Callithrix jacchus: one gene and its partner. The protein of the gene in region 2 interacts with the protein of the main gene of each other region in a pairwise test. Links are inferred from orthologs where the notes say so. Each region holds a gene or a part of one and is shown on either strand. Other genes may lie near its edges.

Region 1 (10,597 bases), on a different chromosome or scaffold from region 2:
TCCTAGCACACACATTCACCTGTCTTTGGGGCTCTGTCAACCAGGGAAAGAGGCCAATACAAAAGAATATAAGAGTAAACTATTCTCATCTTCCAAAACTAGGGAGAAACTGGTGCTAAGTTCTTAAAGCATTGTGAAGGCAGAGAAATATGCATGGGCGAGATGACCACAGAACAAAAACAAATCAGATCTAACTCGTGTTCTTATGAAATTTAAAGTTTTGATTAAAAATGAAAGGTATTATCCTGGACATCTTCTTTGTAAATGACTAAATGAAAACTTATTGTATTACGTGTATTTCACACATCAAGTTATATAATCACAGGAGCTAGCCGATGTCAAATTTAGATGTGAAGAGGAAATTATCAATGGTACAGACTTGATTTAAATTAGCCATGGCAAGATCAAACCAACTGGAAGAACACACTCCTTCCATTAAGTACTAGTGACTAACTCCCAAGAGAATACACTGCTAAGCCAAAGAAAGATTACAACTAAACAAGCATCATTAAGAAACCTAAGACTGAGCGCCGTGGCTCATGCCTGTAATCCCAGCACTTCGGGGGCTGAGGCAGGTGGATGGTTTCAGGCCAGGAGTTAGAGAACCAGCCTGGGCAACATGTTGAAACGCTGTCTCTACAAAAAATACTAAAATTAGCTGGCTGTGGTGATACATGCCTGGAGTCCCAGCTACCTGGGAGGCTGAGGTGGGAGAATCATCTGAGCCTGGAAGGTCACAGCTACAGTGAGCAGAGATTGCACCACTGCAGTCCAGCCTGGGTGACAGAGTGAGACCCTGTCTCAAAGCAAAGCACAAAACAAAAACATACAACAAGCTGAGCACTATAAATGAGGCAAAGCTCAGAATGTCATAACATAGGAAACATATGACATTCTCCATCCTTTCCCAAGATGTAAACAGTAGAAAAGTGTTCAATGTGGAGAAAATGTCTCCTTATAAACGAGGAGAAATGTGGAGCTACTTTACGAATTAAGGTTATTCTTTACAGAAAAATCAAAATTGATTTCCCTCGTAACGTTCTAAAATGCTATCTTCAGAAAACAGAAACCTCTCATGAAATTAATAAATGAAATTTTAAAAATAAATGTTTTTAAATAGCAACAGAAAACAAAGTTTGATCTACTAAAGCCATTATAAAAACTTTCCAGACTAGCTTTTAACTTGTGTTTGTATTACCTTCTATCGATTTGCTGATAACATTTCCTGAGCCACCCCAGACTGGGCATTTTTCTTCGAGTTGTCGCACCATTTAAATAAACGATCATGTAGTTCTCTGCTACCAATAGCTCCAAAGTGCCAATAACATATCTGTAAAAAACAGATTAAGTTTAAGCCTTAAAATCACTGTGTAGAACTGAACTAGAGTCTCCATGTACAATTTCTTTCTCTCCTCTACAAGGAAAGCAAACAATGAAAATGCTCAAACTGCATTAGCTGGTATTACGATCATTTTAAAATGTTACTTTTTAAGAGATATATATGAAAATGTTTTTAGAAGAAAATGATTTGCTTCTGGGATCTGCTTCAAAAGTATATACTGAGGGGAGAAGTGGGAACGAACTTTAAACTGATAATTGTTGAACATTTGATTTACTTCTCTTTACCCTTGTGAATGTTTAAAATTTTCCACAATAAAGTTTTTAAAAACTGGATTAACCCGAGAAACAGAATGATCCTGTGGAAACAGAACTGATTCAGCTCAGTTATACTGGCCTTCTAGGGGTGAATGTAATTTAGCCACATGATTTTGAGACAAAAATCACTTCTTCACACTTAATGTACCTGCAAATGTAAAATTAAAAAGCTGGGATAGGTGGGGCATGGTGGCTTACTTGAAGCCTGGAGTTTGAGACCAACCCTGGCAACCTAGTCAGATCCTGTCTCTACCAAAAATAAAAAAAGTCAGGTGGATGTGGTGACATGTGCCTGTAGTCCCGGCCACTAGGGAGGCTGAGGTAGGAGGATGGCTTGAGCCCGTGAGGTCAAGGGTGCAGGGAGCCGTCGTTGTACCAGTGAACTCCAGGAAGGGTGACACTGTGAAACTCCGTCTCAAAACAAAAAAAAGTTGGAACAACAAATCGGAGATATGACAATTTCCCAGTTTTAAAATGACAATTTTTCTCTTGAGTTGGAAAACTATTATCTCATAATGTCAGAGAATAAGGACTCATCTAGTCCCGTATCTAGTAACAAATACTTTTGCTTTACTCTTCATTTCTATCATTCACAAACTTGCACTTGAAAAATTCGGACACTTTCAGAACTGGGATGTTTATTTTTCTGAGAGAGGGTCTTACTCTGTCACCCCGACTAGACTGCAGTGGCAAAATCACAGTTCACTGCAGCTTTGACCTCACACGCTCAGGTGATCCCCCACGCCAGGCTCCTGAGTAGCTGGGGCTACAGGCCCTTATCGCCATGCCTGGCTAATTTTTTGTTTTTGTAGAGAGAGGGCTTTGTTATGTTGCACAGGCTAGTCTCCAACTCCTGGACTCAAGTGATCCGCCCACCTCAGTCTCCCAAGGAACTTGGATATTTATAATTTTTACACACCTTAAGTTTCTTAAGGTGTAGATCTAACTAGCTCAAAATTCTGTCCAAATGTTTTTGTTAAATATATACTTACTTAAAGAGATTGTCCATCAGGTATCTATAGTTAGGTTGACTACTTTCAGGCATGAAACAGACAGCAAACACGACAATGGCATTTAATCCATCCCCATAATATCCTGAAAAAGACACCAAACACACTATCACCAGCATGATTTCACTCTTAGGAATTTTCAGAAGACATCTGTATGATTGGTAAATTATAAATAAGAGTTTACCTCTCACAAACTTATGAATTAAAATGTATGTTTTGCAAATCTTATATGGTCTTACATAGAATTTTAAATTTCTTCTTCCCCAAAAGAGAACAGTAAAATTTAAAGAGGACAGTGGACAAAAAAAAAAAAAAACAAAAAAACCCCCAAGACCACTTAAATAAGCATACTTAAAACGTAGTCACATTTTATCAAGTAGACAAATACAGTGATATAACCCAATACAATACCAACACTATACAACATTTTAAAGTTTAATATACACACACACACACACACACACACATCACACACATATATATGCACACTTATGGTTAAAGTGGGTACTTTTTAATTTTAAAATATTGTGGAGATAGGCGTCTTGCTCTATTGGCCAGGATGGAGTACAGTGGCATAATCACAGCTCATGCAGCCTCGAACTTCTATGCTCAAGGGATCTTCCCACCTTACAGCCTCCAGAGGAGCTGAGGCTACAGTGCACACAAACATGCGTGGTTAATTTTTTTAAAAAATTTTTGTAGAGACAGAGTTTCAGTGTGTTGCTCAGATTGGTCTTGAACTCCTAGCCTTAAGCAGTCCTCCTCCTTTGGCGCTGGGCATGAGCCACCTCACCAGACCCATAAGTGGGTGATTTTTAAAACATAAGTTTTATATTTAAAAATGCTAGCACTGTATAGAATTTAGGACATCAAAACTAAATTAGGCCAGGCATAGTGGCTCATGCTTGTAACACAAGCACTATGGGAAGCTGAGGAAGGCAGATCACTTGAGGCCAGGAGTTGAAGATCAGCCTGACCAAAATGGCGAAACCTCATCTCTAGTAAAAATATAAAAAATTAGCTGGGAGTGGTGGTGTGGAACTGTAGCCCCAGCTACTTGGGAGGCAGAGGATGCAGTGAGCCGAGACTGCACCACTGCACTCCAGCCTGGGTGACAGAGTAAGACTTGGTTTCAAAAAAAAAAAAAGTAAATTACATCTCTGACATAATTTTCAGTAACAAAAAACAGTGCTAAAATGTCTATGCTTCAACTGCAGTCTTCAGATATTAAGCCTATAATTAGTAACAAACACATCTGCTGTAACTTTCATTTCTATTGTTTACAAATTTGCACGTGAAAAGATTTGAACATTTCAACAACATCAGAATCTTCGCTATCCTTCTTAAGCACTCAGTCACAAAATACATTGTGGTGATGCAAAAGGATAAGGTGGCCTTGATTACTTCCCCTACAAAAAAGTGCTATGTCTGAAAGATAAAGATGCAAGCTATAAATCAGGTCCTATAGTTCGATTCCTATAAGCTGGCGGAATAATGTGTGTCTGTGGGCTTCCAGATCCACATGATGCCATTTTCTTCATCTGAGTAAGACTAAATGAGGCAGAAGAATGCAACTACAAATATTCATGTGATTTCCTTTTTCAGATGAATGAAGACTATAGAAATAAGCAGGGGAATGCATTTGGCAGCGAGTAAATTAAGTGGAAATAACTTAGAAAAAAAAAATCAATCTGCTTGACCCATGTGCCCCGCTGTCCTGCGTTAGGAGAATTTAAAGTAGTATGACATACTCTATAGTGAGTTGTGTTCTGACTTGGCACTAACATTCCAGCACTATTTACAACACGCCTAGGTAAACTTCTATACATGGTGCTGTTAGACTGAAAGGATTTATAACTTAAACTTATATAGCTTTTCTTATTTCTTAAGGGACTTAAACCTTGTATTTTTGTATATCCCATAAATATGCAAAGTGGGTGCTCTATAAAAATGTGGAGTGAACTAGTTCTCTATTAAAAAATAATTTGTTCAGAATTTTAAGGTAAACTAAGAGTTACAAGTTTAAAAGTCCAAGTTTTACTTATATCCACAAAAAGACTTCAAGAATGTTCAAAGCCATTTGTTTATAATTGCCCAAGTTAGAAACAACTCACATGCACATCGAAAAAAAGAATGGATAAGCAAATTATGGTTTCTCCATGCAATGGAAAACTACTCAGCAATAAGAAGGAATGAACTGTGGACATGTGCAATCATATGGATTAATCTCAAAAACGTCATGCTGAAAAGTAGACCAAAGAATGCATAGGATGATTTTAGTTACCATACATGAAATTCTAGAACAGGCGAAACTAATTGGGGGTAGGTATAATAGTGGCTACTGGAAGTGAGTATTTACTGGGAAGGGGTATTAAAAAATTCTTCTGGGACACTAAAAATGTTCTATACATTTAGGGGTGTGGGTTATATACATGGATATGTATTTGCCAAAACTCACTGAACTGTACACTTAAGATCAGAGCACTTCACTGTTTATAACTTAGGGAGAAAGGACAGTCCCAGTTTTCGGTGGCCTGATGACAGTTAAAAAAATTTTTTTTGAGACAGGGTCTGTCAAAAAACAAAACAAACAAAAGAAAAAACTGGAGTGCAGTGGCATGATCACGGCTCACTTGCAGCCTCAACTTCCCAAGCTCAAGCTCTCTCTCCTCCCACCCCATATGCCACTGCTTCTGGCTATTATTTATTTATTTATTTTTTTGTGGCAACCATGTCTACGTTGCCCAATCTGGCCTTGAACTCCTGAGCTCAGGTAATCCTCCTGCCTCAGCCTCTCAAATTGCTGGGATTATGGGCCTGAGCCACTGTGCAAGCTGACAGTGTTCCCTACAGATTCTTTTGTACTTTTTCAACTTACGGTATGCATATAATGATTTTAAATGGTAGCTTCATTCTTCTACTTTAAACCTGTCATGTTTCTAAACTGATATGAGAAATGTTTATTATTCTTTCAAAATTACATGATATCTCTAGGCAGAGTTTCTAAAAGCATTTAGAAATCTGATATTGCATTAGGCAATCTGAGAAATCCTCAGCAACTCTTACCCCCATGGCTGATAACTTTTTTATAGGGTTCAATCGCTTTCATGTCAACCCTGTGGTCCTGCTCTCCAATCCTGAACATACGCCAGCGTCGTCCATCTTCTTTTTCCTCTGCTGCTGTATATTCAGTAATTGAGCCTTTCCTAATTACTTCAGTAGTCTTGGGTTTTGGAAGATCATCTGTGAAAATAAAAAGTTTTTGAATCACAAATTGTTATACAACAAAAATCAAATTATACGTTAACCACTTTACTATCCAGGTTTTTCAGAGAATTTTCATTCATGAGCACAATTTTATTTTATTTTATATATTTTTTTTAAATAAAGATGGGGTTTCACCATTTCGGTCAGGCGGGTCTTGAACTCTCAACCTCAGGTGATTCGCCCGCCTTGGCCTCCAAAGTGCTTGGATTACAGGCATGAGCCACCACGCACGGCCAGTGAGTGCAATTTTAAACGTCTCTTTCATAATGGAGGAAAAGGCTTATTCTTAATTTGAGGCCATCTTAAATCATTGGAAATCATGGTTCTTTAACTTTTTTTATTGCCCAATTCAACAAAAAAAACCACCTAATCACAGTGCAATGTATATCCAAAGTTCAGAAAATATTAATTCGTAGAGTCATCAAAATCTTAGCACACTGGCCTTACGACACCTTCCAGATTCAACTTGTGACAGTGCTGTCCCTGGCAGTTATGACTCTAGGTTACTTCAAGAAGCTATCTGGGAGCCAATGTTGTTGTTGCTGAGCACACAAATTAACTGTAATACCAGATAGGAAGTGGTTAACTAGCAGTGATCACTTCTCATTTGATCAGCTTTATAAAGCAGAAATGTATTTACGATACTCTGAGGTACACATGCAGAAGTCTATTTAAATTAGCATTGGCCAAAGCATAAGCACGAATGATCAGGTGTAATTTATGTTTTGAGATTGCAGCTTAGCTGATTTTTAATTTAGTAATGATTTTCAAAATTTCAGTATTATGGTCCTTACCAAAAGATGGGGGAAGGGGGGAACCTACTGCATGTTAGTTGTTTCCAAGACAAAGCTGTTAACGGAAAATATCCTTCCAGGAAATGACTACAGCAGCATTGAAGAAAGAAGAGACAAAACACACAGGCACAAAACGGTTTCAGTATCTTCATAAACTATTGCTTACTACTGGACTGTTCAATGAACCAGTGAAACAGAGAAGAAAACAGAAATCCAAAATACAGCACATCACACTTTGTTATAGTAAAATACTGAATGCCAAACACTACTTTGGGAAAAAAACCATTTTCAAGATGGAAAAACCATACATAAAAATTATAACAAGTATATAAAAGATATGTAGACAATTTTCTAATTAAAGAAAGCATGCAAAGTAAAACACAGGACAATTCCTTTGAATTACAAATAATTAATGACAATGAATACCAGGTCTGGGGGCTAAAAGTATACGTTGATTTAAGTTGGTCACTTTACAAAGTAGAACAATACCAGGCAAGCCTATTTAAAAAGTCGCCCCCAAAATGCCTTTCAGAACCCCCTTCCCACAAACTGTTAAGTATATGTTGCTTCAAGTTTCTTACTTGATTCACTGAAACTCAGCATGCCATAGTCATCAGCAATATTTGTTAAGCAACTATGAAAGAAATGTGACAGCACTGGGCAAACAAGAGTGGGGGAAACCACTGGTGTCATCTACTATATACGGTTTTAAAGTCTGTGAGAATATTCAAGTGTTAGCAGAATTTCCTATCTTAGTAACAAATAAATGAACTTCAGAAAGAATCACACACTTCAAGCAAAATCCCTGAATACATGAATGAAGATGAGATTAAAAACAGTGAAACATTTACCTTCCCACTCAAACTCATTACTATTCTCAGAGGGTGTGTCTAAGCCATCTAACTCAATCTCCCCACTTTCATCCAAATCGTCCGACAACACAGAGCCATCGCTAGGATCCAGTGTCAGGCTAATGTCTGGAGGCATTAGTTTCTTTCTCACTTTATTTTCATTGACTTCTAGGGAACCTGGAATTGGAAAATAAAGAAAAAGATATGTAACAAAAAACGCTTAGATATTAAAGATGAATATGAAACATTTTAACTACTCCACTCGGGGAAAAATAGTATCAATTAAACATAACTTCAAAGCACCTACTTACAAAATTTTGATTCTGATCACTCCTGCTTCTACATTGTTGGCAAAAGCTCAATAAATTATCAATGTTTTTTAAATAGAGGCAGACCTTATAGAGACCTCTTACCAATAAAAATGATCTCCTCCCACCTGTTTACTGTAAAACTTTCCAAAAACCAAGCATATGTTTTGGGAAGTTAATTTTTTAACGCATTCTAAAAATGCTTTCCTCAATGTTAAGCTTATACATTGACTTCTACAATGGAATACAAACTCAAGTTGGTTTTTTTTTTTTTGGATAAAAAAATGTGTTTAAAAAAAAAAATCACAAAGTCCATCATTTCATTGAAAGTAAAAGTGTTAAGCTCTTACCAGGCTGGTTCTCTGGTCCAGTTATAGCCAGTATATCTGCTTCGGTACTATCATCTTCTGGTAAAGGTCTAGAAGACACAGGCACACTTTTTAACGCAGAAATTAAGAAAGAATTTTTTTCAAGTTCAATCTATTAAACATACAGCTTACAGAAATACATATGTGGAAAATGGAATGAAGCGGTGTTGTTTTTGAGACAGGGACTTGCTCCGTCACCTAGGCTGGAGCACAATGGCACAATCATGGCTCACTTCAGCCTTAACTCCTAGGCTCCAGAGATCCTCCTATTTGGGACTACAGGTGCGTGCCACCACACACAGCTAATTTTTAGCAGAGTCAGAGTCTTGCTATGTTGCCCAGGCTGGCCTTTTAGGCTCAAACGATTCTCCCGCCTCAACTTCCAAAAATGTTGGGATTACAGGAGTGAGCCACTGTGCCCAGCCTAAGCAGTGTTTAAGATAAAGCCTCAGCTTTATGAGTAGCTAGGACTACAGTTGCACACCACCATGCCCGGCTAATTTTTAGGGTTTTTTTGTAGAGACCAGGTATTGATTGCTATATTGCCCAGGCTGGTCTCAAGTGATCCTTCTGCCTTGGCCTCCCAAAGCACTGGGATTATAGGCATGAGCTGCTATGCTTGGTTACGCCTTAAAAATTCTCAGACTGTCAGAGCTCACTTATTACATATAAGTAACACAAAAACAGATATAAATACCTCACGTGTAGGTATTATAGAATTATAAAACGTAAAAATTTTAAACAACTGTAACTGAAACGCGCAAATATAATGCGACATATGATGCAATGTATGAAGCTCAAGTTTGACTCAAGAGACTCAGTAACAATGGTTCATTTCTTCTGAGATCAGCGTTCCTATGTTACTATCACCACCACGTGCAACAGAGACTCAGGTCTCCTCTCAGCTGTCCAACTTCCAACTGCTAAGGCACCTGATTATGGACTAGGATATCTTCTGGCCACTATGCATGGAAGCACTATTTCATTATAAGTCTGCCTTTGCCTCTTTTCATTAGCCTACCTGGTGCCAATACAATTGTAAACACGAATGCAACATGTCAAGGTGGCTGGCCAGATGAGGTAGAAAACCCTTATTAATTTACTTAGTAAGGCTTTTCTGGCGGGGGGAGGGGATCCCACAAAATTATTATTATTTTTGAGTCAGAGCCTGGCTGTGTCACCCAGGCTCGAGTGCAATGGCACGATCTCACCTCACTGCAACCTCTGGCTCCCGGGTTCAGGCAATTCTCATGCGTCTGGCTTCTAAGCAGCTGGGACTACAAGTGCATGCCACCACACTTAGCTAATTTTTTGTATTTTTAGTAGAGATGGCGCTTTGCCACGTTGGCCAGGTTGGCCTCAAACTCCCGGCCCTAAGTGATCTGCCCACCTCAGCCTCCCAAAGTCTTGGGATTACAGATGTGAGCCACTGCACCTGGTCATAAAATTAAAGAAAAATTTTAAAGACAACTAAAGACCGCCTTCTCTGAGGAATCCCTCAGACTTAGTTTAAAGAGAAAAAAACGGGCCACGTGTAGTGGCTCACGCCTGTTATCCCAGCACTTTGCAAGGCCAAAGTGGGTGAATCACGAGGTCAGGAGCTCAAGACCAGGCTGGCCAATATTGTAAAACCCATCTCTACTAAAAATACAAAAAAAAAAAAAATTAGGTGTGCTGGCACATGCCTGTAATCCCAGCTACTTGGGAGGCTGAGATAGAAGAACTGCTTGTCCCTCGGAGGCGGAGGTTGCAGTGAGTTGAGATTGTGCCACTGCACTCCAGCCTGGGCAACAGAGCAAGACTCCATCTCAACAAGAACAACAAGCAGGAGACAAACGTTTGGAGACTTGAATGATCAAAACAAAAATGAAAGATCATAGAAGACTACATGTATGTTTGGTTGGAAAGTAAGATACAAGAGAGTCCATCTAACTGTTGAAAAGAAACTTCTCCTTCCTAGAATCACAGGATCACCTTGGATTACTGAGTTTAAGAAGCCAAATATTCACCTAAAAAGTGATATCTCGGAGGGGCATGGTAGTTCACGCCTGTAATCCTACCACTTTTGGAAGCCCAGGTGGGTGGATCACGAGGTCAGGAGTTCGAGAACAGCCTGGCCAATATGGTGAAACCCAGTCTCTACTAAAAACACAAAAATTAGCTGGGCATGGTGGCACATGCCTGTAGTCCCAGATACTCGGAAGGCTGAGGCAGGAGAACTGCTTGAACCCAGGAGGCGGATGTTGCAGAGAGCTGAGATTGCAATACTGCACTCCAACCTGGACGACAGAGTGAGACTCTGTCTCAAAAAAAAAAAAACAAAAAAGTGATATCTCAATAAAG
Region 2 (10,597 bases):
AAGATTCTCGATGATGGCTCTGCTGTGGTCCGGCAGAACGATTCTCTGGGATTACTGAGAGCTCACACACGGCCCACTCAGGTTTGCTACATTTATTATCACGAACCTATCACAGGGTGTGTGGAAATGTACGTAAAATGTGAAATGGCAGGAGGCTCTGGGAAAAAAGTCATCTTTGTAGCACTTCAAGGCCCTTGAATTTCTCCGCATTAGTTAGATGTGATGGTACACTTCACTCTCTAAAGGGTTTGAAGAAATTTTAGAGAGTATAAAAATGGGAAAAGAAAGTGAAATGTTACCTATATTATCACAATTCAACAGCAAAAGGCATGTATACATTTAATCAATTAAAATTTACAAGGTGGTCATTTCACAGAAATCCTCCCGTGAATGCTTTGGTGAGGTTAACAACTTCCAATTTACATTTTTAAAGGTCAGTATGAAGCTATAAAAAAAATCCATCACCCCAAGCAAGGTTTGCTTTAACAAGTAACTCGTCTTTATCACACACGTGAGTTCACATGTGGGAGGGTGGGACTGATTGTTCACCATTTCTTCTGAGCATTGTATAGGTAGAAACAGAATATAAAGCTATAGCTCACACAAAAAATATTTTGATAGAACTGCGAGATACCACAATGTTGACTGAGGAAGATTCAGCATCTGTGTGTATTTTCAGAGAATATTTGAACTTAACCTCCATTACATTCTTCCTTTGCCCTTAATCCATTAAACCTGCAGTATGACTTGCCATATATTCTGTGACCTGAATTCTCATAAACAGTGGGGTTGCCAATTTAGGAGCAGTTATAGTTCTCCCTCTAATATGTGTCTCAGATATTCAAAACCAAACAAGACTTCCTAAACCTACACTTTTCTGTAAATTATCAACCCTCTATAAAAATCCATATAGCGGGTCCAGGGTCAGGTATCTCAGTGGCTTCTGTCATCCACCTCTTGTCATTCAGCAGCTGACTGACAGCAGCCTAACTGGGTCCTTTCTGTCAGCGCCACCCACAACCTAGCTGTTATGTTCATGTTGGCGAGTCTCTGCCTGCCTCACTCTGTGGCCTGTGTCTTTAAAAACTGGCAGTGTTTCTCTCATTGCCCTTAGGAGAACAACCTTTAGTCTGACTAGCCACCGGTTCCCAGACCTTTGGTCTCTTTTCCCTGCTTAGATGCCAGGCTAAAGTTCATTTAGGTTTTGGCCATGGCTCCTTTCAGACTCCTTTTCAGTTGTTTTCAGGGCTCCCTAAATCTCTGGATCTACATTGAAACACTATAAGGAGCTCCGAATAAAATCCCAGGAGTATTCCAAAGGGAGCAGCTTCTTGTACAAAGCTCCATGAGGTGTCTTTCATAAACCTCCATTTGGTTCCCTCTTCCCTGACTCTCCCTCCTCTGCTCACTTCCCCCTGCACCCCTTTTTAGTCCTTGTTTCTGAGGTCATTTAAAAGTTTGAGAAAGTGCTCTACTCCCGAGGTGCTCCCATAGGTAATCCCGGGAGAAGTGTGCCCTGTTTTCTGAGTCGTGACTATCACTGAGACGTGACTGAGACGTGACTATCACTGCAACACTGTCACAGTAAAGGCCAGGCACTCAGCCAAAATCACCTTAGGCTCAGCTTGAGGAAGCTCAACTTTAAGTAAAAAATTCCCAACGTCTTAAGAACAGACAGATTTAAATAACTGTTTTCCCTAATATGTTTTCTTTCAAGCATTTTCCTGAAAGCAAATATCATGTCTTAGACAAAGATTTAAGAGCTCAAATTGTTTTATTTAAAGAACATTTCTTAGTTCCATTTATGGTTAGGGCTGATATTCTGCTTACGTTGTTAATTCCATTTGGTGCTAATAGTTCAGTAACATGCTAGTGGTAAATTATGCTTAGACTGTGTCTATAATCTGAGAGGCAGAGATGATAAAAGTTGAGTTTTCTGTGTGTAAATACTAAGTTACTCATGGGTGATATGGTTCATGTTTACCTAAATAGAAAGCTTAGGAATATAAAGTCTCCTAGCATATAATGTAACTAGTATTTTAGTAATAAAGAGAAGCAAGGTTGAAATCCAAATTTTCAACTTCTTTACAGTCTTAGACTAGGACTTTATAAAATTAACATTTTAAAACTCACCTGGATCGTTCGTATAAAGGCCACTGTTACCCGTTCTTCAAATTCATTCAGGGGAGTGTAAAGGTTTAAAATTTTGACAATCTATTGGGGTAAAAACAGAATTTAGCACAGCACTAAATGAACATGAGACAACTTTTGAACTTTAATATGGGACATTGGGACAAGAGTATGATCCTCTTTAGACAAGGCTCACAACACAGACAGAGCTGGACTGACCTTCACACTTGGAGCCTGCATCCAGGTAACTAGAGCCCACAGCTTTGCCAGGTGGATCTGAGCCCTCTCACGGAACTCATGTCTCTTGTAAAGCCACCTGCCCCTTCTCACTATGGTCACTGGTATACACAATGGGAGGCGTTTAGAATGCGGTTGCCTGAAATACTCAGCCTGTTATCTACTAGTAATTTAAAGGTTTCTTCTGAAGAGTACTGTAGATCTTACCTTAGATGAGAAAGGTCTTGTTAACACCTAACTACCCCATCTCCTAAAATTGTTTACAAATGAGAATTTGAACAGGAGATACTCTTTTGTCTGCCTACTAATGGTTTGGTGGAAGTAGGCTGCCCAAATGCAATGCTGGCTACATTCTAGAAGCAAACTTATATAAGTGAAATGTATATAAAAGGGAAAAAAATGTGGCCGGGTGTGGTGGCTCACATCTGTAATCCCAGCACTTTGGGAGTTCGAGGTGGGTGGATCACCTGAGGTCAGGAGTTCAAAACCAACCTAGCCAACATGGCAAAACCCCGTCTCTACTAAAAAAAAAAAAAAAAATTAGCTGGGTATGGTGGCAGGTGCCTGTAATCCCAGCTACTTAGGAGGCTGAGGCAGGAGAATCGCTTGAATCCGGGAGGCGGAGATTGCAGTAAGCTGAGATTGTGCCATTGCACTCCAGTCCCAACAAGAATGAAACTCTGTCTCAAAAAAAAAAAAAAAAAAAGAAAAGGAGAAAAATGTTTGAAGACTTTCTGTAAATGTGTACAAAAGGAGGCAGTTTTCTTAAGAGTTCAATATTTAATCTTTTAGTAGCTAGTGGAGGAGGTAAGGAAAAGTTAACTTTGTATATTAAGATGTGTTTACTTTTCTGTACTGAGTTTGGATTTTGTTATTTATCTTTTAGGGACTAGCGATAAATCTGCAACTGACTCATAGTTACACATTTTTTAGGGATAAGGAAAGTAACATTTGAATGCCCCTAGGTTCTTAATGACTTCATTTAAAACAATATAAATGGAGTGTGAGTGGAAATGTGACCATATTGAAATTAGTTTTAAATAAACCGGTTTTTCTTACAATTATAGTTGTAAAGAAAGCAAATACCGGATGCTGCCAATTTCTGAAAATTTATAAATTTCTACATAAGAAATATTCCAGAATTCATTATATTTTAAAAAGTTTTTACCTAAGCTTAATGTTTTGCGGGTTTGCTGTCTTATCTTTTAAAGTGAGTAAGAGGGATAGGGAGACTAGAAAGCAGTATTCATGGCATCTTGTTTCACACACAAATGGCCTTTGGTTCACCTAGGAATATCCCATCAGCTGCACTTCAAAATTGTATCATTAGGGGTATATAAAGGGTGGGAGTACCACACTAACAAATAACCACTAACAAGAACGGATTTGGAATGGACACTGGGCTTGCTTGGAATATCGCGGTTGACAGAGATGCAGAATGATCGGACCTGCTGGGTGCTGAGGGAGGTACACAGGGAACAGATGGCCTCTGCATCCTCCTGGGTTTTCTTCTTTAATTGGAGGAGCTGGGCTGCTTGGATCAGAGGTTCCATGGTCTGAACTGCTCCACTCTGGTGAAGGTTTCTTCCCCGAAGCCACTCCTCAAGCTGACTTATATTGTACCTTAGCCATAGGCAGAAAGCAAGCTGTGTTAAGCTGGTCCTCCTAATTCACCAAGAAGGGGACACCTGTTGTGTTTTACATGTAAGCTGCAGCTAGTGTCATTATGGATCTCACATGGTTAAAAAGCATGGCAAATGCCTTGCACTCAGGGAACTATTTGTTGAATAAAGAATGAATAAATGAATGAGTGGTACATAAAATCAAGCAAAGATGAAATGCCTGAAGTGTCTACATAAGTTAGTGGTGAAAAACAGGCATTAAATATACTGAATTGTAAGTATTTAAACATTCATCCCCGTATTTATACTTCTGTGTGAGTCTTCACGCCTGTTAACTCATTGAGTTTTCTCTCTGACCTATCTGCTTTGTATTTAGTCTTTAACTTAGAGTATGTCAATATCTTTAAGCTTTGAACTAATTTATTTACCAAGTCACCATCTCAGTGTTTGATGGATTTCACCAACAGATAAAAAGGTGATGGACCTGAGTCACAGACTGATGGAGACAAGAATTGCCACTTAGATTTGGATTTCATTTTTAGAAACAGCAGTCTTGTGTCCTGATTCTAGCTGGAGTCAGTGAGCACCCACTCTATCTGTGTTGTTGGGGTGCTCCTCTCTTACCTGAGTTGCATGCCTGTGCTCCAAGAGCAGACATCCTTCCGTAGGAGCAGGTTGTTAAGAGTCACTGCATTGATCATGTAGAAGAGCTGTTTGAATACCTGCAGGATGATCTCAGGGTCCAAGCCCTGGTCACACATGACTGTATGAAAGGCATTCATCTGGCGGATGATGGCTTCCAGGCAGTATGAGTTATCTCCATCTGCCATGCTGGAAGAGCGCTTCCGGTAGCCAGTGGGCTTCACACCAGATAGACCCTGAATGCTCTCATTTTCCAACATGGCAGAAACTGAAAGAAAAGCACAATTAGGGAAGCTTGCATTCCTCATGAACAATGCAAAGCTCATTGGACCACTCAGATAATTTAATGTTCGGGGCTTTAGCAGTGATACCATCTAGAGCTGTGCAATGTTGACCCGTTCAGGAACTTTTAACATTTGGCAAAGAACTTCTAATGTGTTGACTTCTATATGGAATAAAACAACTGTGGACAGCATTTTCACTTAAATTTATCGGCGATGAGACAAAGATGATGGGCATGTACCAGCTCGATCCAGTATTGCCTGTGCTAAAGTCCACAGTTTGAGAATTGAGCAACTTGGGAGTCGCCCTGGCCCCGCCACTGACTAAGTAAATATGAACATCATTGGTCTGTCATACCTACTGACAGACCACTAGGGGCTTTATGTTCAGTATCTCTTTTAATCTTCCAACAACTCTATGAAGTACTACTCTTTTTTTTTTTTTTTGGAGATGAAATTTCACTCTGTTGCCCAAGCTGGAGTGCAGTGGCGCAATCTTGGCTCACTGCAACTTTTGCCTCCCGGGTTCATGCGATTCTCCTGCCTCAGCCTCCCTGAGTAGCTGGGACTACAGGCACACGCCACCATGCCCAGCTAATTTTTGTATTTTTAGTAGAGATGGGGTTTCACTATGTTGGCCAGGCTGGTCTCAACCTCCTGACCTCGTGATCTACCTGCCTTGGCTTCCCAAAGTGCTAGGATTACAGGTGTGAGCCACCACACCCGGCAGTACTACCCATTTTTACAAGGCAGTTGAGGCATAAAGACGTTAAATAACTTGCCTGAGTTAGGCACTCAGATAAGACACACTGATGAGGAGTGGCAGGGCTAGGATTTAAACCCAAGTCTGTCTGACTCCAGAACTGGTGCTATTAACCGTCACATTAATCTGAGTATCTCCAGGTTGATATGTCAGTTCTCCCTCTGTCTGGTACCTTATAAAAAGATTTACAGGAAGGAGGGTTTGGAATAAACCTCATTTCAAGTAATGTATTTCTAGATCTGTCCTTCTTGAGATTCACCCATAACCTACTTGTGCTGTGAGAACCTGGGGAAGCAGTTTCCTTCCCAGCCTTTGAAGAGCACAGTGAATAACGCATCTACACAACATTTTGTGAAAATACAAAAATTAGCCGGGCATGGTGGTGTGTGCCTGTAGTCCTCACTACTCCGGGAGGCTGAGACAGGAGAATCGCTTGAACCTGGGAACAGCAGAAAATGTAACTGCTCTCATTTTTTGATTCTTATTTCATGTTCAGTGCCCAAACACACTGCTTGGTTCAAAGCACGTGTCTAATAAATACTGCTGCATCGTGCCTACTGCTGTGTCCTTTTGCATGAACACACTTCTGCTTTCTTTTTTCCATGAATCAAGTTCGTAATAGGTTAAGAGGAGTTTTCCACTGTATATGCATTTGTACCTTTGAGTTTATATTTATTATGTATTAAAATTAATATGGAAAAATACAATATATTACAAAAAGAGAGATAAAGGGAAAGTCCTCTATGCCTCTTTCCCTGTGTCAAATACCCTAGCATCGTTAATTTCATGGGATTTCACAGCTCTTTTAAGCACGATGTGCACCCCTCAGTTCTGCCTTCACTGTGAAGGTTCTGTGTTTAATACATCTGGTTCCCGAAAGGCAGAGGGTGCTGACCACATCTTCCTCTCATTTCAGACCCCATGATGAGTGATGGAGCTCTCCTGCTGCCAGCTTACCTATCATCGGCTGTAACACGCCCTCGGCAATTTTAATGAGCTGCTGGTAGATCTGAATGGAAAGGTCACTCAGCACCTGACGGTATTCAGTGAGGTCAAAGTTCTTAAGACAGTGTTCGTTCTGCTTTGCAGTGTTCTGAGTCATGAAGCCCTGCAGAGGGAGAGGCGTGCACTACTGAGATTCTGTGGTCTGCTAGGCCCAGCACCACTTCCGGGGCTCTGGTCACTTTAGTCATCTATTTGGTGGGCGGGGGACCTACCAATGTCCTTTCTATGTAGTTGATGTTTTACAAAACCCTGTCAGTTCTCTGAGGCCTCACTGATGACCCTTGAACTTCAAGGTAGTAGAAAAACTCAAATGAGAGAGAAGGCCTGAATCATTCAGTCCAAATCCCTGAAGTGAAGTGATTTCCCTATGGTAACAAAACCCAGGTTGGTACCAGGTCCAGAGAAAGGGATCCCTGCTCTCTAACTTCGTCCAGTGCTCTCCCCAATATACCAGGTCCCCCTAAAGTGTTACATGAGATGCAGCCTCTAAAGGAGTGTGGCCATGGGCCAGATGGTATGTTTGTGTAGGGGGACATCTTTTACAGATTCTATCACTGGGTATCAGAATGAACAGATGAACTAAATTGATTTCATAGCTACAGCAGTGTGTCCTCTTAGCTTTCCATATTAATCAGATGAAATAACATGTAAGTTAAGAGAACTGCTGATATCAGAAGGACGCATGTGACCAATGTCCTTTTCAGACAGGGCAAGGGAGAAACCAAGAGCAGCCAAAAAGATTAGTGCTCCCAAAAGTGTGACCATCTTCAGCAAGGCCAGTTGTACTGTGTCAAATACAAAACCATCTTAATATGAACAAAACCAGGCAGAAGAGGGGATAACTGTAATCACGGAGATAGATTTGTTCATTCTTCCTTGTTTGTGGACTACACGGATCTGGTTATGCTGTGGTTCAGGTCTTGCCCCAGAGAATATAAGCACCTGAAGCAATAGCCCAATGTAATAGAGTTCTAGGCCCTGCCCTAGCCTTATTTAGAATGTATAGAACATTGGGTAAAGTGATGGACCTCAATGAAATAACATTACATGTAGTTCTATGCTTCAAGTAAATGCTTGGATATTATGATTTTGTAACAGAAGGCATGTGGTTTGAAATGGCTGTTTCTTCAACCTTTTGCCCATCTCTTTTAGAATAAAAGCAGGCCATCAAATGCAGTTCTTATTCCTAGGAGAGATATGGAGTCAAGCCAACCACAAAGAAGGTTCTACTATAAGGACACATGCACACAAATGTTCACTGCAGCACTGTTTACAATAGCAAGGACCTGGAATAAACCCAAATGCCCATAGATGATAGGCTGGACAGGAAAAATGTGGCACATATACACCATGGAATATTATGCAGCAATCAAAAATGATGAGTTTATGTCCTTTGTAGGGACATGGATGAACCTGGAGAACATCATTCTCAGCAAACTGACACAAGAACAGAAAATGAAATACCGCATGTTCTCACTCATGGGCGGGTGTTGAACAATGAGAACACATGGACACAGGGAGGGGAGCACTACACACTGGGGTCTGTTGGGGGGAATAGGAGAGGGACAGCGGGGTTTGGGGAGTTGGGGAGGGATAGAATGGGGAGAAATGCCAGATATAGGTGAAGGGGAGGAAGGCAGCAAATCACACTGCCACGTGTGTACCTATGCAACTATCTTGCATGTTCTTCACATGTACCCCAAAACCTAAAATGCAATAAAAAAATAATAATAAAAAAAGAAGGTAACACTGAATGGAAAGGCACATCCTGTTATAATCCAGGGAGAAGGGTCTGTCAAAATTGGTTCTTTATTCCAAAAGATGGAATAAAGCTTTAAAAATGGTCACACTATTTTGGTTTACACTATGCCTTGACCTGGGGAAGGGTAGATGGTGGGATATGTGAAAGGAAGCGGAGGAAATATCAGGAAGACCTACAGGAATCTGTGAGTGAGCATGTCTGGAACGACTTGGGATTCTCACCAGAGAAACAAGAATGGAAACAAGTCACGTATTACTAAGTCATTGGGCAGAGTGCAGAGCACTGGAGAAGTTCTTTCAGGGACCAAAGCTGGGAATGTGAGTTCCAGAAAAAGCTGGGCCTTACAGGTTCAGTGTGGAATGTGAAGTGATGGGGTCAGTTGGGCCTCAGGTCAAGGAATCCAATTTGGATGAAGGCATGGAGCTGGGCCTCCAGGCTAGTTTGTACACATGTAGTTCTGATTATGGGTGCCTCTTTTCTTGCGGCCATCTTTGTCTATCTTGAAATGGACAGATAATTTGGATGGCTTAGGAGACAGGTGACCCACTAAGCAACTGAGCTTCCTGCCAGTATCCATTGCAGTGGGGCTCTTCTAGAGCTGCTTAAGAAATAGAAGGTTACAAGGTTTTCATGGAGACTCCCAGGGCCTCTATGGATGATGGGTTATGAAGACCCTACTTACATAACCCAGGAGTAATTTCTGAGGCCCCTTGGGCTCATCAAGGTCTCCTGGAGGCAGGTCTCCTGTGGCTGGCTTTATTCCTGCTTCCAGCCACCAGGTATGATAAGGTGTGCCCATGGTCTGAGGTCCCCAAGGGTGCTCCGAAGACCCAACTGACCTCTCCTGAGGGGATACAAAGCACTTCTCAACCGCATTTGAATGAAGAAGGGACGCCTCCTGGGTGGCCAGCTCCCCACTCACCTCATCCCCGCTGTACTGCTTCAGACAGTGAAGAAGGCGGCAGGTGTTGGATAACCAGAATGATGTCATCTCAAAGTCATCATTGTGCTTCTGTGAAAAGAAAAGGACATCCCCAGCTTAAGTGGCTCCCGTCTGGTGAGATGCTTCCTCGGTACCTCTCTCCCCACATTTCCTACTCTTATCCAGCATTCCTGAGCAGCCCTGAGGGTGGGCAGGGCACTTGCCAGTCACGGGAATGAGACCCATTGCTGAGAGGCTGTGTGACTAATCCTCTGCCAACAAGCATGTACACAGAACCCCTGTCTTGGTCCCCTGATCAGTGGTGCACATACAGCTGTCCTTCAAAATTGTATCATTGACACACAGAAAGGACAGGCCACCTTCCATGGCTGAAGAATGAATGCAAAGCTGAGTGACAGATGAGGCTCAGCCCCAGCAGCCCTGGGCTCTCGTCTAACTGCCTGGGCTAGCTGGCTCTGTTTCTAAACTGCTGGTTACTCGATACAAGGGATTCTAAAAGAGCATGCCAACAAAATATTTTGGTGTCCCATTATCTAGAGGACAGTTGTGTCATGCTTTAACTCTCTAGGAAAAGGCTACAAACCCTAACTAGGTGAAAAAGCCTGTTCAGCAACCCAAACAGCTATGAGACAGCTGCTGCATTAGCACTGATGACCTCATGCAGCTCATTCTGTCAAATAAGTGTCATTATTTAAATGTCAGAATGGTGTGAGGTACAACAACGACGACAAAATAATAATGAGGTTGAATAGAAAGTGACTGGTGGGACTGGGACATGCTCTTTTAGCTTGGAATTAGGGAAGGCTTTCCTAAGGAAGTGACATTTGTGTCAGCCTTAAACTGGCCTAGACTGGCCCAAGATTCCAGCCAGATGGTACTCATGAAAGAGGGTCAAGGCTGGAGACACAAACCTGAGAGCCACTAGCATAGAGATGTATGCTTTAGGGCCATGAGTGGATAAGATTGCCTGTGGACAATGCAGCTACTGAGGGCAGGAAACCAGACTTAAAGGCTGGCTCTGGAATTCTCAGAGTAGCAACCAGCAGCTCAGTGGACCCCAGAATTGGTCTGGACTCAGAGCTTTTGAGAATGGCTTGTATCCTGGAAGCAGTAGTGTGTGAGAACTAAGACGGTCTCTAAGAGCAGTACCACTCCGGGCACAGGCCTGCTAGAAGGCAGAAATCCCTCTTATTGAGGGCTCATCTCCCTCAG

Evidence for each region.
Region 1: the proteins of MYO5B (region 2) and BNIP2 interact in binary tests that used the Homo sapiens proteins (3 or more experiments, as listed by UniProt). The two-hybrid records come from large-scale screens. The link is inferred for Callithrix jacchus from reciprocal best matches to the Homo sapiens genes MYO5B and BNIP2.

Annotation. Positions count from the first base shown.
Region 1 is NC_133509.1:6,427,372-6,437,968, forward strand, and holds part of BNIP2 (BCL2/adenovirus E1B 19 kDa protein-interacting protein 2), read right to left. Parts: intron 8,305-10,597; coding exon 8,237-8,304; intron 7,756-8,236; coding exon 7,579-7,755; intron 5,910-7,578; coding exon 5,733-5,909; intron 2,752-5,732; coding exon 2,649-2,751; intron 1,331-2,648; coding exon 1,199-1,330; intron 1-1,198.
Region 2 is NC_133514.1:92,984,949-92,995,545, forward strand, and holds part of MYO5B (unconventional myosin-Vb), read right to left. Parts: intron 9,455-10,597; coding exon 9,365-9,454; intron 6,784-9,364; coding exon 6,633-6,783; intron 4,900-6,632; coding exon 4,614-4,899; intron 3,991-4,613; coding exon 3,816-3,990; intron 2,215-3,815; coding exon 2,134-2,214; intron 1-2,133. UniProt on the Homo sapiens protein: May be involved in vesicular trafficking via its association with the CART complex. The CART complex is necessary for efficient transferrin receptor recycling but not for EGFR degradation.